Caenorhabditis elegans: one gene and its partner. The protein of the gene in region 1 purifies or fractionates together with the protein of each later gene. This does not show direct contact. Each region holds a gene or a part of one and is shown on either strand. Other genes may lie near its edges. The genes, in order: F59B1.8 and atrn-1.

Region 1 (5,102 bases):
AAAATTGGCTCCAAGGAAATTTTTTATGCCAATTCCGCTAATATTCAACGTCGTTTCCGGCCTTTTTATAAATTTTCATCCAGTTTCCGAATTTGACCAAATTTTTCAGGCAAATGCATTTTTAAATGTTTATAGTTTCATTGTTAGGTTTAATAATATTGAAGATTTTGTTCTTAATTTATATTTTTCCGATTTTCAGAAAATTCTGGCTTGCCTAAGCCTAAGCCTGAGCCTGAGCCTAAACCTAAGTCTGAGCCTGAGCATAAGCCCAAGCCTAGGCCTAAGCCAAGTTAGCCTAAATTACGCTTTTATCTAATTCCAGAAAATTGACAAATGCATAGAATTCCTCAAGTTACATGAATCAATTTATTTTCCAACCAGCCGTGGACCGCACCTCCAGCGCGGCCCCCGACTTCTGGAGCTGAAAACCAATTTTTCTGAAACTACCGTAATCATACAGTACTCCTACCGTACCACCATTGTACCACTACAGTACCCCGACTATATCCCTACACTAACCCCAACTCACTATCCCTCCAGAAGCTAAAACTTCGCAGAATACAAAGACTACATAGACTACAAACTATGGACAAACGGAATAAGCGCTTTATATATAGTAAATGACTATATCAAGCAAAAATTTTTAATTTTTTCCAGTGAACTTCTTGTTGAAATCATGAAAATTGAGCACATCATCCAACAGACAATCCACTTTTTCGATGACAATCCGTCTGTAATTTTCAGCTTTTCCAGACTCCATTCCCTGCAATTTCATGTCAACAGCCGGCCCGAACAAGGAGATCAGTGTCAATGCTCCAACTGGGAAATACAGTTTGAAAGAGGTCTTGAGCTGAAAAATTTTCAGTTTTAGAATTTTTAATTTCCAAAAAAATGGTTCAAAAAATTACCTGTTCAAGAGTGTATGGAGCATTGTTGGAGCCTATCTCGTCCGTGAAATAAGTGTAAAATTGCTCCAAAATGTGCTCCCAGTGAGATTGACGGTCGGCTCCGGAAATAGTTGAGACGAGGAGACGCACCAAATCTTCAGCTGGATTTCCCATGTGAGATTCCTAAAAAATTCATTTTTTTGAACATTTTCGACATTAAATCAATTTTTTCTACCTGATAATCCAAAACTTTGTCGGCAATAAAACCTCCATCCGTCTGGGTCCACAAAATATTGGCAGCCCATAAATCTCCATGGCAGATAACTTTTTGGTCGATTCCTGAAAATATAAAGTTAGACCTCTGAAACATAACAAAAAAGAACTACAATGTAAAAACTACAAACTACAAACTACAGACCACAAACTACAAACTACAACTTGCAACCTACAAAAAAATACCACGGAGGGTGATAGCGGGTAATTTATTTTTCAACTTTTGGCGAGATCCTTTATTGTGGCAAGATCCAATTTTCGCCGCGAGAAACTATTTTCAACATGGGATATATTTTCGTTGCGAGACCTTTTTCTTTCAAAATCTTTAGAAATGTACATAAATAAGAGGAGAAAATTTGATCACAAGTTGCAGTGTTTGTAAAAAAATTATGGTTTTCAAAAAAGAAAATCGAAATGTTTTTTTAACATTTTCAAAGCTACGGTAAAAATTACATTTGGAAATTTTTTAAAAATTCACTCTTACCTACAACTTTATTCAAATTGAGAACAGTCTCCAAATTCAGAATCTCCTTGTGGTTCTGCTCAATCCGTTCAACTTTTTCACTCAATTTCTGGTCAATATTCCGGCTTTGATCGAAAATCCCTTTCAGGCCATCTTCGGACAACATATCCATTAAACTCTCTTCAAAGGCTTCTCCATTATCTAAATTTCTGCAGCTTTCGGTGCTCAAACTCAACGCCTGGAGCCTTGCAAGAGCCTTCAAAATTGGCTGGAGCTCATCTACAGTAACATTTTCATAACAGTGCCGGACGACTGAACCTTCAACGAACTCCATTCCAACAAATCCCTTATTCGGGTTGTCCTCCTCGAATTTCTGCGAGAAGAATACTTTGGGAAGGAGAAGCCCCTCCAAATGTCCGAAAGCTTCGCAGAACTCTACTTCCAAGTTATGCCCTTTTTGACAGGACTTCTCGAAATGTGCATGCACATGGGCTTCTTCTTCCGGCGACATTACTGAATTCCCTTCTTCATTGGACTTATTCAGAAGGCCCTGCACATGAACGAATGAAACGATTTTCAGAATTAGCTTCTTGGGAAGATGGGACGAGGGAATGGTCCAGTGACAGGTGATTAGGATCACGCAAGAGGAGAAGCCCTGAAAAATGGGAAGCTTGATTTTTTTACTGCTTATCTCTCATTATCTCCCCAAATAAAAACTAGCTAGAGCACAAAAACACTGCGCAAAAGTCGCTGACCAATCAGTGATAAGCAAAGGGCGTGGCTTATATCACTGATTGGTTGGCGCTATTTGCGTTCAATTTTAAAATTTTTATAACAAGAAGGTACATATTTTTCATATTGGGTCGCAAACTGATTTTTTTTTTGAAAACTTGCTGTCGTCCAAAGATTTTTTTATTTCTTTTCCAAATATTCCGAAAAACATCTTAACATTTTGGTTTATTTTCGTCTTTAACAAAAAAAAATTTAAAAAAGCAAAAGCTGATTAAAAATTAAATTTTATGGTTTATGGTAATTTTTTGAAACTTTTTGTTTTCAATTTTTTTTATTTTCCGGAAAATCGAAAAATTGAAAACTATAATATTTCTATTTTACAAATTCATATAAAAATCCAGTTTTCAAGTTGAAAAAAAAAACATGTTTTTTTGTTTAAAAAAATTGAATAAAAAACTTACATTACCCTCCCCAATAACCTCCATTTTGCTCTCCGCCGTGAGCTCACTTTCAGTGCTCATTTGCTCTTTGATAGCTTTATTCACATCTTCTAAAGTCACATGGGTATTGAATAATCCAGTACCTGGCTGCAAAATTGACAATGGTTTTGTAGACATTTTTAGCTGAAAATTATTTTAATAGATTTTTAAAAATAAAAACTTTTATTAAGCTATAATAAAAAGACAAACTTAAAAAATTCTTGGAAATAAATTGTGTAAGAAATCAATGGAAATAACACATTTGACAGGACAAAAACGGAAACACTTGAATTCAAAAAAAAAACGAACGCACTATTTATATAACCGCCACACTTTGTGACCCCATTGTGTAGTCACTGTGTTTTGTGACACCCTCTCTCTTTCCCTCCCGCCTTGTGTGTGTGAGTGACGTCATTTTAACGAGACGGCGGGTGGAAAATGTGTGATTGATAGTTTGATCTACAAACTGTTGTGCAATAAATGAACGCTATAAAATACGTTTTCTATACATTTCAAAATTAAAAAAAAATGGAACCAATTTTTAAAAAAATCTGGTATTGTAAAAACAAAAGGCAAATTGGGCAATTTTTTTCGAAAATGAATTAAATTTTTTTAATTGAATAAAACAAGAAGAAAACAATAAATAAATTATTTATTTCACAGATTTTATTTGCAGTTCGCAACAAAATATTTTCGAAAAAAATAGACGAAACTATTTTTCTTGAAAATATCTTTTGGAAAATTTATGGTACTTTTCCAGGTCATCCAGTAGACATGCAACTTTTTCAATAACTACGTGACGACATTTTTCAGCTTTTTCAGAATCCATCCCCTCCAATTTCGCGTCCACAGCCGGCCCAAACAATGGAAGAAGAGCCAATGCTCCAACTGGAAAATAGAGCTTGAAAGAGAGCTTCAGCTGAAAAAAATTTATTTTCAATAAAAAAATTGCTCTCAAAAACTAACCTGCTCCAAAGTGTACGGAGCTTCACCCGAGCCAAGTTCATTCAAAAAATACGAATAAAATTGCTCCAAAATCTGCTGCCAATGGGCTTGACGATCGGCTCCGGTAATTGTTGAGACCAGGAGACGCACCAGGTCTTCTGCTGGATTTCCTAGATGGGACATCTGAAAATGTGCAGGTTTTAGTGGAAAATATTTATAGTTGTCAAATAAATATACCTGATAGTCCACAATTCTGGTGGCACAGAAAACTCCATTATTTTCGGTCCACAGAAAGTTGGCAGCCCATAAATCTCCGTGACACAACACGTTTTGTTTAATTCCTGGAAAATATCACGCTTGATCTTTGAAACACTACAAACTACAAACTACAAAAACTACAAACTACAAAAACTACAAACTACAAAAACTACAAACTACAAACTAAAAACTAAAAACTGCATACTACTTCATGTTTCACACATGCGCATATTAACTCTGATATCGAAAATTGCTTCAACAGAAATGATTCGAAATTATTAATACACTCGATACCGACTACAACCTACAAACTGCAAACTACAAACTACAAACTACAAACTACAGGCTACAAGCTGTTCAATGTTTTACAAATCACATATTAACTCTGATATCGAAAATCGCTGTAACAGAAACGATTTGAAATCATAAAAAACACTCGGCACCAAATACTATCTACAAACTGCAAACTACAAACTACAAACTACAAACTACAAACTACAAACTAAAATCTACAAGCTACAAACTACAAACTACAAGCTACTCCATGTTTCATACATAGCATATTAACTCTGATATCGGAAATCGCTGTAACAGAAACGATTTGAAATTATAAAAAACACTCGGCACGGATTACTATCTACAAACTGCAAACAACTACAAACTACAAACTACAAACTACAAACTACAAACTACAAACTACAAACTACAAACTTCAAACTACAAGCCACTTCATGTTTCATACATAGCATATTCTGATATCGAAAATCGCTTTAACGATCGGTGCCGACTACAAACTACAAACTACAAACTACAAACTACAAACTACAAACTAAAATCTACAAGCTACAAACTACAAACTACAAGCTACTCCATGTTTCATACATAGCATATTAACTCTGATATCGGAAATCGCTGTAACAGAAACGATTTGAAATTATAAAAAACACTCGGCACGGATTACTATCTACAAACTGCAAACAACTACAAACTACAAACTACAAACTACAAACTACAAACTACAAACTACAAACTTCAAACTACAAGCCACTTCATGTTTCATACATA
Region 2 (7,783 bases), on another chromosome or scaffold:
GCGAACTTGAGAGGGATTCTTACTCGGGATTGGCTGGATTCAAATTTGATGTGATACTTTTAATATTTTGATAATATTATTACTAACTTGAACATAGTTGAGAAATGGGTTCCAAAAAAAACTTCTATTTTTTTCAGTTTTCATTTTTTTGTAAAAGCTTACATGCTCAATTTCATCTATCCGCCGCTGATTCCTGCGATAAGCTTCTATCCTAACTTTGATCATCCACAGCAGACCGGCAACGACTAGAAGGACAATGAAGCATCTGGAATTTCGTTTTCTAGGAAACCATTTAAAATAGTTTTCAAAGCTTACGCTGCAAATATCACGAAAAACAGGACCCAGTTGATCGGCGGTGATTGTGCAAAACTGACAACAATTTGAACTGGCGTGTTGAAGTTGTATACTCGAACCTGAACAACATAAATGTGTAAACTTCTTAATGGTATTGCAATTAACTTACGAAAAAGGTAGTGTTCGAATCTGGACCAAATGGATATCCCTTATCTGATGCCACATAGACACGTCGGAATCCTTTCGAGTCACAAATTGTATCCACCATCATGGCTTGAGACTTATCCGCGAGCCCGTTCACATAAGACGAGGTCATGTTCAAAGCAACAAGTGCGTTACCCTTTGGAGATTCACAGCTGATTTGGAATGTGACGTCAGTGTCTTTCTGAAAAGAACAAAATTATAATTTATCAAATAAACATGACAAGTTAAGATGTACCTTATATGGAACACTGTATAGGTAAATTTCACTCGTGTGATTATCCTTATCGTCGCTTCTCAACTTGAAGGTGAATATGAAGTCTACGGCTAGCTCATCTGAAATTTGAACTTGAATTTCATTAAACCATAAAACAACTTACAGAAACATGGTGTTCCATTTCTCGGATTGCCCACATATTTCGCTTCACATTTATCACAGCGGTCTCCAGTGACTCCTTTAGTTTTGCAGAAGCATTGGCCAGACACTGGGTCACACATATCAGCTTGATGATGGCAATCGCATGCTAGAAATAATAATTATAATTGATCATTGTTGAAATTTTGATTCAATGTTCTTACGTGAACAAACTCCTCCGTTTCTGGCGTCGCCGTAAAAACCTGGAGCACATCGCTCACAGTGAGCACCGGTGGTGTGGTTTTGACAACTTTGGCATTTTTCAATTGTGACCGGAGGGAAGGAACCAACAGAAGTGAAGCACGTAGAGTGTCCGTTGCATTGGCACGCTGAAAAGTTGGGTTTTAATGAAATCAATTAACCAATGTTATCAAAACTTACCAGGGCAGTCTATAAAATACCAGGTACTGTTTTCTGGTTTTGGCTCTAACGGGCCAGTTGATGTACCACGGATGCAAAGTCCGAGACCAGTCTTGGAGTCGTCTGCAAGCCATCCACATCCTGGATCTCTCTGGCATTCTCCGCAAGTCTTGTGCTCTTCGCAAACAACTGACTCTGAAACGCCGAATAAAAATCGGAATGCAAACGCTTCAAAGAGGTTACTCACCAGCTTGACAAACTCGATTGATAACACTTCCTGAGCCAGATGTAACCCACGAGTGGCATTGTCCATAAGCGAATGACAGCGTGTATGCTTCCAAGTTGATGCATCTATTCGTGCTCGGACACCACATGCACTGCTCAAGATCGGTGCAATCGCTGCAGTTGTTCCGCTGAGCACAAGGCATTGGGCATTCGGTAGCGTTACGGAAGAAAGATGGGAAATGCGAAGGTGAGAGAAACTTGTTGCGATCAGCAAGAACTGACTTGGTCTCATATTCGTAGACGACGGCAACTGAAAATAAAATTGAATTGTTAAAAGTTTGTGATTCCAAGTGTTGGGCGGTTTTTTTTCAAATCAATAACTGTCCTATTTATTGAAAAATACCAAATTAAACAGTGTTTTTTAGTTAATTCAAAAAAAAAAACTCAAAATAAAAACATTGTGTGGCGTGTACTTTTTCTCGTCCACTCACGGGAGTGGAAGGCAAAAATCTGAACCCAACCAATATCAGGCCGCCGACATCTCACGGGTTCCGCACGCCGCTATGTTTAACTCGCAGCGGGCGGAGACAGCTCGCCACGCCCACAGCGAGTTAAACGCAGCGGCGCGCGGAACCCGTGACATGTCGGCGGCCTGATATTGGTTGGGATCCCGATTTTTGCCTTTTCTCCGTGAGTGGACAAGAAAAAAGGCGGGGCCTAAATATTAGGTTTTCTGCAGTACACGCCTTGCAGTTTTTTTTATTTTGAGTGTAAAACTCACTTGTTTCTGGCAGGTGATTATTTCATGCACTATATAATACATAGAAACATGTTCGTTCTGTCAAACTTTTCTCAAAAATGTTTCTCCGGTTTTTATCAAAGTATATATAAAGTTTTCATAAAATTGTGCTTGGCCTCATTTTGTAAGCTCTCAGTTCTCTAGTTTATTCCTCGTGTATATCATACAAAAAACATACTCAAATCCTCCTTGCTCACACAAGGCGATGCTTTATCAATTGGGTACCAAGTGCAGTGTGGTGAGATTCTACAGCTACCACAGTTGTTCTCCATATTGCATGGACGCATTGTTGCAACACTATTTCTTTGCGGGCACTTCTCCCAGGATGTTAGCATGCCCTGAAACGATCGCATAATTTACTAGTCAACCGAAAATTTTTCTCACCGGTCCATCCACACACTCTTGCTCATTTGGAAGACATTGCTCTCCTGAGGAGCACCATCCGCATCCGGATTTAGAGGCGCAAGAGACACAATCCGTTTGCTCTTCACACGTTTTCAGAGCGAGTCTGAAAATGTAAAGCTTGCAAGTTGAAATTCGATGTTTTTTTTTTCAATTTTTACCTTAATGGTGTATTTGTGCATTCATCAAAAGATTTAGGTGTCGATGATTTAATCATTGAGGCGAACGATGATTTGTAGGAGACTGTTGGGTCAAATGGAACGCAGGAACTGTCGACGAAAACGCATTTTGTGCCATCGGTGATTAGACGACATTCATCAGGTCTTGTAGCTGATGAGCATTTTGCTAAAATAATAAACTTGAACACTTGAGTTGCTTTAAGTTAAAAGTACCTGGACTCAATGTCCAAACGTCGCTCTTCATTTTTCCGTTGAAACCACCAAGAGCATAAAGCTTCTGGCCGATAACATGAACAGAATGGCCAAATCTTTTCAAATCCACTGGAGCAGTTGACATGTTGGACCATTGCTTACAAGCTGAAAAATTAAAAGTAGACGGCTTAAAAATTGCATCACTCAATTGACTCACCAACGTCATAGGATTGCACCATATTTGAAAAGCATTCGCTTTTACTTCCCGCCGTCACATTCGATCCTCGACCTCCAACGACTACCATCAAGCCATTAAGGTATGCAGCAGCATGAAGATATAGTTGAACTCCAGACTGTGGAAGATTCGACCATTTCTTGGTAGATGTGTCAAATTGCATCAAGCTGTCGGTGATGGTGTTGTTCCACATGCTACCACCATAAACCAGAATTGCAGTGGCTCCCTGAAATGAAATGATTTTCCGAATGGTATTGGAATTGTTTTACTAAAAGTTTTGAATTATGTACAAAATCTAAGTTATCCTCGTAAAACTGTCTTACGTCTAGTAATAATTCAACAAGCAGCCGACATTATGCTGTCATCAAAATTTGTTAAAATATGTGTAGCACTAGCGAGGTATCGGCTGTCAGTTTTGGCAAAAATATTGGGGGTTCACAATTGTTAAAAATCAAAAAAAAAACATCTAACCCTGTTTTTAAATACCTTCAATGACGTCACTACGACATCGCATTTTTTAAAACCAAACTCAGTTAATTAACTCAAATTAGTAGGACTCTAAAAAACTTACTGTTGGTGTTGTGTATTCCACTGCGGAATGTTTAAACCTTCCGTAAACATGATCGCTTGTGTTGGCCACCGTCCATTCTTCGGTTTCTGAAAGCATTTTTTTTGTTTTTTCCGACTTCTTTTTTTGTTTCCTTACCAAAATTATAAATCTGCACGTGATGCATAAAGCCAAACAGTGGGTTATAGCCAAATATCACAAACATCTCGGATCTAATCACATGAGCTGAGTGACCTGCAACTGCGAATGGCGCAGCAATAATTGTCTCATTCTTGTGAATCTGTTGAGCCCATTTTTTAGAGCCCATGTCAAAGATCCAAAGCTCGTTTGTTGCGGCTTGTGTCGTTTGGTGACGGACTTGGGTTTTTGTAACTCCTCCGAACATGTACAGCTTGTTCTGAATTCAAAAAAATTGGTAGAGAAGTCTCGAAATAGAATGTACAAACCTTATACTTGACAACTGTGTGATCAAAGCGAGGTTTCGGCATATCTCCGGACACCTCCACCTTACTCCAAATCCGACTTGTCACGTTGTACACGTCAATGTTATTCGGATCAGAGCTTCCATCGAAAAACTCTCCACCGATGCTCCAAACAACATCATCGATAGCGATTGACGCGTGGGAAGCTTTTCCGGTTGGTGCATTGTTAGTCGGGTGAATCAGGTCCCACACCGATGAAGACACTGGCATTTGACAGGTTTCTCCATGAACCCTTGCCGAGAGACATTCACATCTTCCATCAACACATTGACCTTCATGACACGGACTTTCCGTGGATTTTCCGCTGAGTTGGCAGACTTGATACTCACAGTTGAGACCTTTGTATCCATCTTCGCAATCACACTTTCCATTCAGGCAGCTTCCATGGTTTGAACAGTTATACGCACAGCTGCAAATTCACGTTTAAAAACTTCAACAATCTCAACTTCAATAAATATGTCGAAAACTCACCGATTTGACTCGTATGAAACATTGAACCCGTTTAAATTAATGGCTAAGTCACTGAAAAAGTGCACCAGTGCTTTACCAGAAGCCGCAGTGAACTCTTGTGATGGTTGTTCTCCGCTGAAATATTTCATTTTCACATAAAATTTTAAAATTTCAAAACCAACCATAGTGCGGCAAGCTGCTTTCCATAAACACTATCACCATCGTAAATATACAAATAATCCCAGCCGCACTCGGTGAAAAAGCTGTTTATCCGAATTTTGAGTGGAGTAGCGCTCTGCAAAATTTAAATGTTATAGAACATCAATCTATCATCAACACATACATTTTCCGGTTCAATGAGCCATGTGCATTTTGCTGAAGGGCTATAATCCAGAGGTCCATCCGAAATGTAGCTCGCGTTGTCAGATATTCTAAAGAAATTCAACGTTTTTTTTTCTTTCGTTTTTTGTTTGAAATAAAGCTTAAATGTTGCTCACCGTATCCGCCCAAAACAGTGATCGCACTGTGAACCGTACCATCCTTTCGAACAAACACAGGCCTTGTTCAAGCAGACGCCGTTGTAACATGGTTTATCGCATGATGATAATGACTGAAAATTTTTGGTTGTGGGAATTTGTTAAGCTTTGAGATGTTATCGCTAAAAGTCCCTGAGGGAATATTTTGGAAAATGTTATCAACATTTTTTTGATAATAAACAAAATCAACACCACTAGTTTTTCGAATTTTGAAAGGCTTCAAATTTTTCCAATTGCTCTTTCAAAGTCAGAAAATGGCTCAAAAAGACCAAATTTTGTAATGATTTTTCTTGATTTTTTCAAAAAATTTTTTATCATTTTTGAAGTTAACTGAAGCTGCGGCCGTAATTTATATTTTGTTGGACACTTTTCAGATGTTTATTTAGTGCATGAAGTACGTTTTTAGGCGATACATTTACATACATATTTGATTACTTTTGTGTAAATATTGATTAAAAATGTACCGAAATTCACAAAAAATGGTTATAAACCCTGCAAAAGTATGCGAAATAGAAACAAAAACATTTCTGGTCATTGCAACACGGAGAAGTTGATAATTGTTTTTGAGGAATTTCAAATAGATTCACGATGAAATTCAGTCTTTTTTGTCAATTTTGAGTCAAGAAAATTAACTACTCCGCATTTTTTTTAAAGTTTCAACCTACCTTTTCGAATTCAAAATTTGCATGATTTGTTAGTGTGTGAACTCGGGAGAATACTTGAAAAAGGAGGAAAACTCGAAATATAAAGCATGGGAATACTTCCCTTGCTGAAATCATCACGTGCACATCGGTCTGTAAAAAAGGTTTCATTAGAATAAACTTGTCGAAAATAAGCAAAAATTGTCGCAGTAGAGAAAAAGGAACAACACTATAAGCATGACTAATTTGGAAGAAGACACGTCGTCGTAGAGGAAGAAAAAGGCGATGATGATGACGACAATAATGAATGAAAAGAGGCACTGCGAACAGAATGAATCGATCGATAGTACGCTTGCGCGAAGAGATGCGGAGAAGGAGTGTGCCGCAAGAAGAGAACGCAGAGAGAAGCGACGTTAGGTGGGTAAACTAGGTAGACAACACCAATTTGCTTTTAAACGTTCGCGAAATGAGTCAGTGTGTCTTCGCTTTTGGTTTAATTCGAGCGGTTCTTTTTTTTTAACCAACGCAGTTTCTTCAGCTTTTAATAGGTCACAAATGTTGGGTGTGAGGCGGGTGGTTTTTGATCGTCACATTCTAAGAAGCTGTAAATTTCTTTTTTTTTTAAATTAAATCAAAGTACATAGCTTTGGTCAATGTGAAAATAAATTCAAACCATTTATGAAATTATTCATTGAAAATAACCGGGAAAATAGTGGAGAGCAACTGAGTCCCCAAAAATGATTAAAATCAAAAAAGATTTATGGTTAGCAACTATAATTTTAATCAGTCACTGAAATAAGTAACGGCTTGTTTTTTTCTACGTGTCAGTATTTCAGTAGTATCACAAACTTATAATTTTCACATTGGGAAAAAATTGGAGTGAAAAATAATTTAATACTAAAGTGTTTGAAATCTGACAATACTTTTCGCTCACATTTTGCGTCCTGTTTTGTAACTGTGATTTTTTTTCTAGAAAAAACATGGTATATTATAGTTATTATCAACCAATGAAAACAAGGCATTAGAAATAAAATAAAAATATCGAAAAATATTTTGGAAAGTGACCAAGAAACATTGTCAATTTATATGTAAATGGAGTGTTCGAAATTATAATTTTAAAGAAGTAGGCAGGTAATTTTTTTTGTGATTTTGAGAATGAATTAGGCATTCAAAAAAAAACTGGAAAGAAGTAAAAATAATAACCTTTTTTAAAACCCATGTTTTGAAAAAAGATACTGGTGTAATGTTTCCGAGCATTTTTAAAAAACAATCCAATTTTGTTTTATTTATTTTTTCGTTTCGTAAAAAGTATTTCATCTATAGACTAAAAAATCTGAAATTAGCAGACCGAAAAATGTTTGTATTATCACTATTCTTACAAAGTAAAAACCACCACTATCACCCAAAAAATTCTTTATTGAGGGCGTTTTTAAAATCAATAGCTAAATATTAATGTGAAAATGATGTTGTATTGAATTTTATCAGTTGATACCTAATCGAGAAACGCCCTGTTAAAATGCAAAATTATTGTAAGGCATTCCAAAAAAAAAGCTGCTGGCACTGACCAAAACAGTATTGCTACAAGGAAACATTTCGAGGTCCCTCCAAACTTAACACAAACTGAAATAGCTTCCGCTATTTCTGCACAATGCCTCTGCAAATAGTCTGTTCAAAAAATGTTCGAAAGAGCGGAAATCAAGTTTTGGCAGTCGTTTTTCGATTCAAACTATGAGCATAGTAAGCAAACAGGCGGCTTTTTTTGGGTGGAAACGGAACAGAAAGAACAGAAAAATCAGCGTTAATT

What was found.
Region 2: the proteins of F59B1.8 (region 1) and atrn-1 fractionate together in Caenorhabditis elegans (co-fractionation; one large-scale study listed by BioGRID). This does not show direct contact.

What each region holds. Positions count from the first base shown.
Region 1 is NC_003283.11:3,641,266-3,646,367, forward strand, and holds F59B1.8 (CHK kinase-like domain-containing protein), read right to left. Parts: upstream 2,979-5,102; 5' UTR 2,973-2,978; coding exon 2,817-2,972; intron 2,279-2,816; coding exon 1,645-2,278; intron 1,227-1,644; coding exon 1,123-1,226; intron 1,071-1,122; coding exon 909-1,070; intron 851-908; coding exon 644-850; 3' UTR 593-643; downstream 1-592. Other genes in the region: F59B1.10 (CHK kinase-like domain-containing protein), read right to left, coding at 3,547-3,753, 3,801-3,962, 4,017-4,120.
Region 2 is NC_003284.9:14,709,928-14,717,710, reverse strand, and holds the start of atrn-1 (CUB domain-containing protein), read right to left. Parts: upstream 6,133-7,783; 5' UTR 6,118-6,132; coding exon 6,004-6,117; intron 5,413-6,003; coding exon 5,300-5,412; intron 5,234-5,299; coding exon 5,146-5,233; intron 5,098-5,145; coding exon 4,985-5,097; intron 4,938-4,984; coding exon 4,824-4,937; intron 4,762-4,823; coding exon 4,317-4,761; intron 4,268-4,316; coding exon 4,009-4,267; intron 3,960-4,008; coding exon 3,874-3,959; intron 3,529-3,873; coding exon 3,285-3,528; intron 3,233-3,284; coding exon 3,089-3,232; intron 3,042-3,088; coding exon 2,858-3,041; intron 2,803-2,857; coding exon 2,679-2,802; intron 2,633-2,678; coding exon 2,473-2,632; intron 1,806-2,472; coding exon 1,518-1,805; intron 1,466-1,517; coding exon 1,292-1,465; intron 1,240-1,291; coding exon 1,075-1,239; intron 1,020-1,074; coding exon 876-1,019; intron 832-875; coding exon 734-831; intron 680-733; coding exon 464-679; intron 414-463; and 4 more.